Linked DNA regions of Schizosaccharomyces pombe. The gene in region 1 interacts genetically with each later gene. Each region holds a gene or a part of one and is shown on either strand. Other genes may lie near its edges.

The links. A genetic interaction does not mean that the proteins touch.
Region 2: mutations in rei1 (region 1) and snz1 together harm fitness more than expected from each alone (negative genetic interaction), as found in Schizosaccharomyces pombe (one large-scale study listed by BioGRID).

What each region holds. Positions count from the first base shown.
Region 1 is NC_003421.2:1,220,736-1,225,030, reverse strand, and holds rei1 (ribosome biogenesis protein), read left to right. Parts: upstream 1-1,849; 5' UTR 1,850-2,023; coding exon 2,024-3,415; 3' UTR 3,416-3,792; downstream 3,793-4,295. Other genes in the region: meiotic cohesin complex STAG protein Rec11, read left to right, coding at 1-161, 199-614, 658-943, 1,031-1,345; vgl1 (vigilin), read right to left, coding at 4,014-4,295.
Region 2 is NC_003424.3:5,413,149-5,416,693, forward strand, and holds snz1 (pyridoxal 5'-phosphate synthase (glutamine hydrolyzing)), read left to right. Parts: upstream 1-1,789; 5' UTR 1,790-2,037; coding exon 2,038-2,928; 3' UTR 2,929-3,045; downstream 3,046-3,545. Other genes in the region: mtq1 (S-adenosylmethionine-dependent methyltransferase), read right to left, coding at 3,203-3,545.

The DNA of each region.
Region 1 (4,295 bases):
AATTACTTGCCAGTTGGGAGGATGTTGCAAAGCTCTTGCTTTATGATCGCTTTGATGCAAAAGATACTAACAGTGTCTTAAACCCCTGTATACCGAGCAACGCAGTGATAGAATTTTCTTCTATCTATCTCCATTATTTTGCAACACATATTAGCAAAAGAGTAAGTTATTTAAAGCTTCATATTACTAAACCTCTAGTCGAAGAAGCCAGGTAAAAGACTTGAAGATGAGGTCGTAAACCAACAGCAAGCAATGTTACGAAACCTTCCATTACTATTACAGAAATACAGAGAATCTTGTGTTTCATCATACTTTTTTATAAAATGCGTAGAGCAAATTCCTGACGAGCTTCTTTATAAGAGAGAATTTCATAAGGACTTTTCAAAGTTGTATAAAGAAATACTGGATATATTTAATTCAACTACCGTTAACTTCCTGATGATTTTGTGCAGCAGATTCTTCCACCGATTGGCGGTCAACAAAGTTGTACAGGAAGATATATTATTTGCCATTGACAATGTATATAATGATTTAGCAGAAAGTTTACACGAGCAACTCAATGCATACATTCAAAGAAAAAAAATAAACAAAAAAAATCAGTTGAATGGCAATGAGTAAGGATTTTTCTTTTTGTTATTAGATTGCTAACTTTACAAGTGAAACGCAAAACTTGGTTTTAGCTTTAAATAAGTTTGGATGCTTTGCAAAGGAAATGGTCTGTCTGCGAGACGTCAATGATTGGAACATTAAACTGTCAGAAAAATTATGCGAAATTTGTAGTCTTGAAGTCGGTCCTATCGTCTGTTATTCTTCTTTGAAAGTTTTATTTCTTCTTCTGCTTTCTGATATGAGAGATAGAAACTGTATTTTTACAAATATATTTTTAAAAGCAGCTAAGGTTGCGAAGCAAAAAAATGGAAACTCCTTTTTAAGCAAAGTTTTCGTAAGTCTCTAATGTTGCTGTCTATCTATCTTTTATGACTGTTGATTTCAATCACATTTAGTGGAGTAAAATGCTAACTATAAGCAGATTACAATTACGATGCTTACATTGTTTCTTGGATCAAAGGCAAATAATTGGGATATAAATTTTAGTGACGATGACTTGAAATTGATGAATGAAGAAGAAATCATGGAACAAATTGAAACTTTTAAAGCATGGTCAATGAAATTTAAAGAGAAATCATCTGGAAACCCTTCTTACTTTTTTTCACCCGAAGATACTGAGGAGAAGGAATTATGGAATAATCTGTTTGAGGATTGGTATCCCAATCGTGCTAGAGATCCTGGAACACTGAGTCATTTAGTGAAAGGTTTAAAAGAAACAGCTGACCATTTATCATAAAACGAAATTTTAACACTAATTAAACCCCGAGGGAAAAGAGATAAGAAAGCACATGTGCTAACTTTCTTATTGAGGCAAGGAAACTTATTAAACAAAAGGAAAAGACATTAAACTCTATTATGTATTTCCTATATGATTATTCCAACGAAACTAACTCAAAAATACCTCAATTTCAAATACTCAATTTTAATTAAACCCTGAAGAGTGGGAGCTCGTGTGCTCGCTAAAACTACAATGCATGCCATTTCTTTCTTTCCAGCCCTTTGTCTATATATGAGTTTTCTTAGGACTTACTGGTTAATCAAAAGGTACGCCTTATGTTACTAAGCAATAGAAAATGTTTTTGAGGGATGCATAAATTAAGTTTAAAAAAACAAGACATTAAGATGTTTAACATATCAATTAATTTTATTTGATTTCAATAAAATTGATAATTATTTGACACTTTAAAATAATTTGGTGGTGCTACAAGTTATGTAGGCAATAGTTGATCGTAGGCAAGTTGGATTCAACCAACACCTTTTTGTGCAAGGTATTGTAAAAAAGGGTTGACTTCATCTCATTAAGTTAGTTTGAGTCAAAGAATATATTTGAGGAAAGACTCGGCTTCAATATCAATTTTTTTTTCGATAAAAAAGTGTACTGGCTAAGAATTGAATTACTTGACAGAATACCGAAATGTCGACTTCTTTTGCTTGCACGACTTGTACTGTGGCTTTCAATAATGCAGAATCACAGAAAATACATTGGAAGTCTGACTGGCATCATTATAATCTGAAGAGAAAGGTTGCTAGCTTGCCGCCGTTGAGTGCTGAGGTGTTTGCTGGAAAGATTTTGTCCATTCAAAAGCAGAACGAGGAAGTCCAGAAAAAAGCAGAATTTTATCAAAACTGTGAAGTATGTAATAAAAAGTTTTATTCAGAAGGCGCCTATTCATCACATATGGCTTCGAAGAAGCATCGCGATAACTTGAGCAAATTTCAAAGAAACAGCCGTATTAAGAAACTTCAAAGTGAAGATGCAAGTAGTATTGCTTCTTCAACCTTGTCAATGGGTGAACCTGTAGTTGATAGCGAAATTGAGGAAGAAGAAGATTTAGCTTCACAACTGACATCAAGGGCGATATCCCTTTCCAACTTATCTCTTCATGGTCGAGAAAGTGAACCCTCTAAAACTGAATTGGCTACTTCCATACCTCAATCGAACGAAGCTTCCAAGTCTCATCTATTTACACAAGAACCAACTCCTGAAGAAATTGAAGCTGAACTTGCTCGTCGAAGTAGTCAACGTCTTTCACCAAGAGATTGCCTGTTTTGCGCAGCCTCTTTTTCTTCATTTGATACATGCAAGAAGCATATGAAGGCTTCTCATAGCTTGTACATTCCTGAGCGGGAATATTTGGTAGATGAACCAAGTCTATTCGATTATTTAGCAGAGAAAATTTCTATCGGCTTTACTTGCCTTACCTGCAATCGTGAATTTAAATCACTAGAAGCTGTTCGTGCCCATATGCAGCAAAAGGGGCATACCTCTATTGCCTATGATACAGAAGATGAACAGCTTGAACTCTCTGATTTTTATGATTTTACTACATCGTATCCTGACTATGCAGTAAAGCAAGACGAAACTGTCGTAGAAGAAGATGGAAGCTCTGGTGAAGGAGACTGGGAAGATGTTTCTGATGATTCAGATAACTCCAGCTTAGATAGTCTTGAAATGGGTCGTGTACCCATTGCTGACGAATATGAACTTCATTTACCCTCTGGTAATCGTGTGGGCCATCGTTCGTTATCTCGCTACTTCCGCCAAAATCTTCACTCTAGTTCTACCGCTGTAGGAGATGGTGCTTCTATTCATCAGAACGTCGCCAGACGTGCGATGAGTGGTAATGCCCGAGCTTATAGACAAGCTGTTGAAACAAGTATAGCTGGTGTTCGCGATGGCCGTAAGAATTATAGTGCCTCTCATATCAAATCATTCCAAGACCAAAGAAGAAGAGAGGAATTTGCTAACAAGATGGGTATTAAGAATAACACAAAAAAGCATTTCCGCGATGCGCTTCTTCAATAGTCTATTTATTGTACGAGGCCTTTTGTTTCTTTCATTATATACTTCATACTCCACATTCTTTCGTCTCATATTTCTCCTTACTTCCGGTGTTCTTTATTTTGGGGTTTTCTGGGTTTTTTTAACTTATTTACGCTATTTGGAAAAAAAAAACGTCCTAATATGGTTCTTCTTTTGAGAAATGGTTAAATTTTAGCTCGTTGTTTGTAAATTTATAATATTCTTTTACTAAAACTTGTTGTGTCCTATCTGTCGTACAATGCTTATTTTCTCATAAAAAATCATAGATTTCAACTATTCTAGTTTCTTGAATTATCTATACATTCCAATGTTTATATCTGAAAAGATTGAATAAATGCACTAGGTACGCCTTTTTCCTATGCGTCTATATTTGTAATATTAAACAAAGGCAATGTAACAAAGCAAAGAAGGAATCAATAAGGAAAATGCTCGATTCAAGCAATTTCCGTCTCCTTAAAAAATGACATGTAGTAATAAAAGAGCGACAAAATGATATTTCGTACACATAATTTTCAAATACACTCTCAAAAAAATTTGAGAAATGAATGTAAGTACTAAATAAAGGCTCCAAAATTTTACCTTACTCTTGATTTTGGTTTTCTTGAAGTCTCTCGAAAATCAGATCTTTAGCCTTGACAACGCCAGCTCGACTTCCTTGGACTACTACAATTTCATCGCCTGGAGTACGAGGAACATCAATTTTAACTTGGGCGATCTTTCGGATCTTATTAATAATAGAGCCACCAGAACCGATTATACGACGGTGCAAGTTCGTTGGGATACCCAAGTAAGCAATACAATTTTCCATAACTTGCTTGATAGATTTTTCCAATGAAGCGATAGCCTTTTCAACATTTTCCTT
Region 2 (3,545 bases), on another chromosome or scaffold:
ACCAACTTATAATGGATTACTTTGTTGTCGTTGAATATCTGAATAGTAATTTTTTTCTAATACGTACATAATTTTTTGAAAGACTCATTCCTCGTATTTCCTCAGTAAATGTCACTTTTTTGGTGTACATGTAGATCGACCAAAGTAACCTGTTGCGGGCGACTTTTGTAACTTGTTATTTCTACTTTAAATCTTTTTCTTTTATGATGTTAGGGCGTTGGTAGGGGTTGTAACGTAAAAGGAAACAATTTTTGATATTTTCTCTACGGCATGTGAAAAGTATTACCCAACATGCCACGGAATTCTACGCTGTTTCAGTAATAAAATTTTATTATTATTATTATTATTATTTTTTTTTTGAAAAGATGTAATAAAATGCTTATATTTATAGATTACAAAGAGACAGTAATAACGTTACTCAGCTAACTAAAAAAGTGCAAACTAAACAGCGAATATGGCAAAAAACAGTCATATTTAAAAAAAAAATAATAATTTGAGAGGGAAAAATGGAATAATTTATTTAAAAACAAAAGATACCATAAAATCAATTAATCTACACATAAAATTTACAACTAGGATGTTATTTTGATAAAGTTTGTTGTAAATTTTTTGGTACTTCTACTCATCCGCTATTAGCTTGAAAAACAAAAGTAATTACTACCGCTTTATGGCCAACTAGTTTCATAGGGAGGATGACTGCATACAAAAACGCTGAAACCCTTTCAAATGAGTCTATAAGACAGCAGTGGAAAACGAGTATTTCAGTTTTTAGGTACATTGCAGTGTTATAAATAATATGTGTTTCTTTTCAGATTTTTTTTACTAGTCAGTTATTGTTATACCAATCAATTCCTGGTATGTTTATATTAAACAACAAACAGGACACGAGGAGTCCTTGAAGTATTACTACATTTCCAGTTCAACGATCTTGTTTCAAGGTAAACAATGTTAAACATTACTGCATAACAAAAATCTAATGACAATTGAAGCAGCGTATATAAAGCGATGCATAAAGCCCTTGTTAGGAAAGGCTCTACTTGCGGCTTCTTAATTAGTATTGATAAAATCTATTTCCATGGACATGCAAATATCTCGCAAGATGGATACATCGATCATTCTTCGGCGACTTGGATACCTCAGTCCCCACAAAATAAGATAAAGAATATTGGGTGTCGGTAGTCAGTATCCTAATCCATCAAAAAATTACGGACATTGCAGACGCTGATCGGTAACATACCAAGAAATTATCTGGTAGAACGCTTATATCCATATTTCCGATGCAATCGGTTCACGCCTGTTACCATTGATCGCTAAAAAATGTATGCAACTTTCCATAAAGGTAGTAAAGACATGACTTATACGCCGGATATATGATGAGCAATTTCATTTAGTAATTCTTTATTGTTTTGTACGTTTTAAAAGTATGACGAAGCATCTCAAAAGTATGAATTGTCGGATAATTGCAGCATGTAAATAAATAGGAGGATTCTTTTATTAAAGTCGACTTTAGGAGAGAAACAGTTTTTGTGCTTTCCCTCCAAGCATAACAATTTGACGTTAGGTTTAGCAGGTCGTTTAGATAAAGAAAGACATCCGCCTCTTTGTAAATCGCTTCAACATCAATTGTAAGTTGCTTACATCTTCTACGCGCCTCCACTGTATACTTATCGGGATCAATCAAATGGTTTCGGACATTTACTTCCTAAAGTAGTGTATGCTACGCTTCGTTATATTACATCTTGGTAAGCATGAAAATGTATATAAGGCGAGTGTTGTTTGCTATTCGATTAATTTCTTCCATCATCACAGTCACATTTTGTGTGTTGACATAAAAACTTGGTCAGGTTCTGAGTTTCGAAAGGTTCATTTTTTTGATTTTTAGGTGTTTTCTTTAAAGGATCCTTGTATCTCATTTGTCTAAAGGCAAAGACCATTATATCTATAGAAAAATCATTGTTGCATTTTCGTTTTACCACTTTATACATCCTATTGTTTGCTTGGAAAAAGTAAATTTTAATTAATCGCATCTACTTAATCATGTCTGCCGAAATTAAGGGATCTACTCAAGTCAAGGCTGGTCTTGCTCAAATGCTCAAGGGTGGCGTTATCATGGATGTCGTGAATGCAGAGCAAGCTCGTATTGCTGAAGCTGCTGGTGCTTGCGCTGTCATGGCATTGGAGCGTGTTCCTGCCGATATTCGTGCTCAGGGCGGTGTTGCTCGTATGTCCGATCCCTCTATGATCAAGGAAATTCAAGCTGCTGTCTCAATTCCTGTCATGGCTAAGGTTCGTATTGGACACTTCGTCGAGGCTCAAATTTTGGAAAGCATTGGTGTTGACTATATTGATGAGTCTGAAGTTTTAACGCCTGCTGATGATATCAACCATATCGAGAAATCCAAGTTCACTGTTCCATTTGTTTGTGGCAGCCGTAACTTGGGTGAAGCTCTGCGCCGTATTTCCGAGGGTGCTGCCATGATTCGTACCAAGGGTGAGGCCGGTACTGGTGATGTTGTGGAGGCTGTCCGCCACACTCGCCAAATGCAAGGTGAACTTCGTCGTGTGAAGTCTATGTCTCCCGATGAGTTGTACACCTATGCCAAGGAGATTGCCGCCCCCATTGATTTGGTTAAGGAGTGTGCTCAATTAGGCCGTTTGCCTGTTGTCAACTTTGCTGCTGGTGGTGTTGCCACTCCTGCTGATGCTGCTCTCATGATGCAACTTGGCTGTGATGGTGTTTTTGTAGGATCTGGCATCTTCTTGTCTGGTGACCCGGCCAAGCGTGCTCGTGCCATTGTTCGTGCCGTTACTCACTATAACGATCCTAAGATTTTAGCTGAAGTTAGTGAGAACTTGGGCGCCGCCATGGTTGGTCGCAGCGTTAGCTCTTTGGAGGAGAAGGAAAAATTGGCTACTCGCGGGTGGTAAATATTAGAGAAGGATTTATATTCTCCGTAATGCAGATGTCATTTAATGTTTAATTTTATCTGTTGATATTATTTTTACTCACTAAATAAAAAGTTTTTTTTTGTTTCATTTTGATTTAATCTCCTAGTAACTTTGAATTCATCATTGTATTAAGTGTTAGCTTAGTCTGGAATTTATGACTAAAGTCGTAAATGTTTGTAAGTCAGGTCAGATTCAAAACGATGTTTGATTCAGTGCGTTATAATTTCTTTGTGTTTTAGCAAATGAAGTCTTTTTAAATGTCAATGAGTCGTCTATCTTTTCTGGTGATTATTACCACTCGATCTTGATGTGCGCCATCCTGTTCAATATTCGCTTGCCAGTTGGTATCATCAAATAATGATTTCACTATTTTAGCTTGATGAGTGCTACCGATTTCAAAAACTATTAAGGATAAAGGTACAAAATCCTTGGCGTTTCTTTGTAACATCCTTTTTATGTACTGACTAAATTTGTAATAAAACTCATTACCTCCGTTTTTAGCTAAAAGAGCCAGCTTGGGCTCGTATTTGCGCACAGAAATGTCGGTTTGTGCAGCAAAATCATCATCAGATATATAAGGAGGATTGCATAGCAAC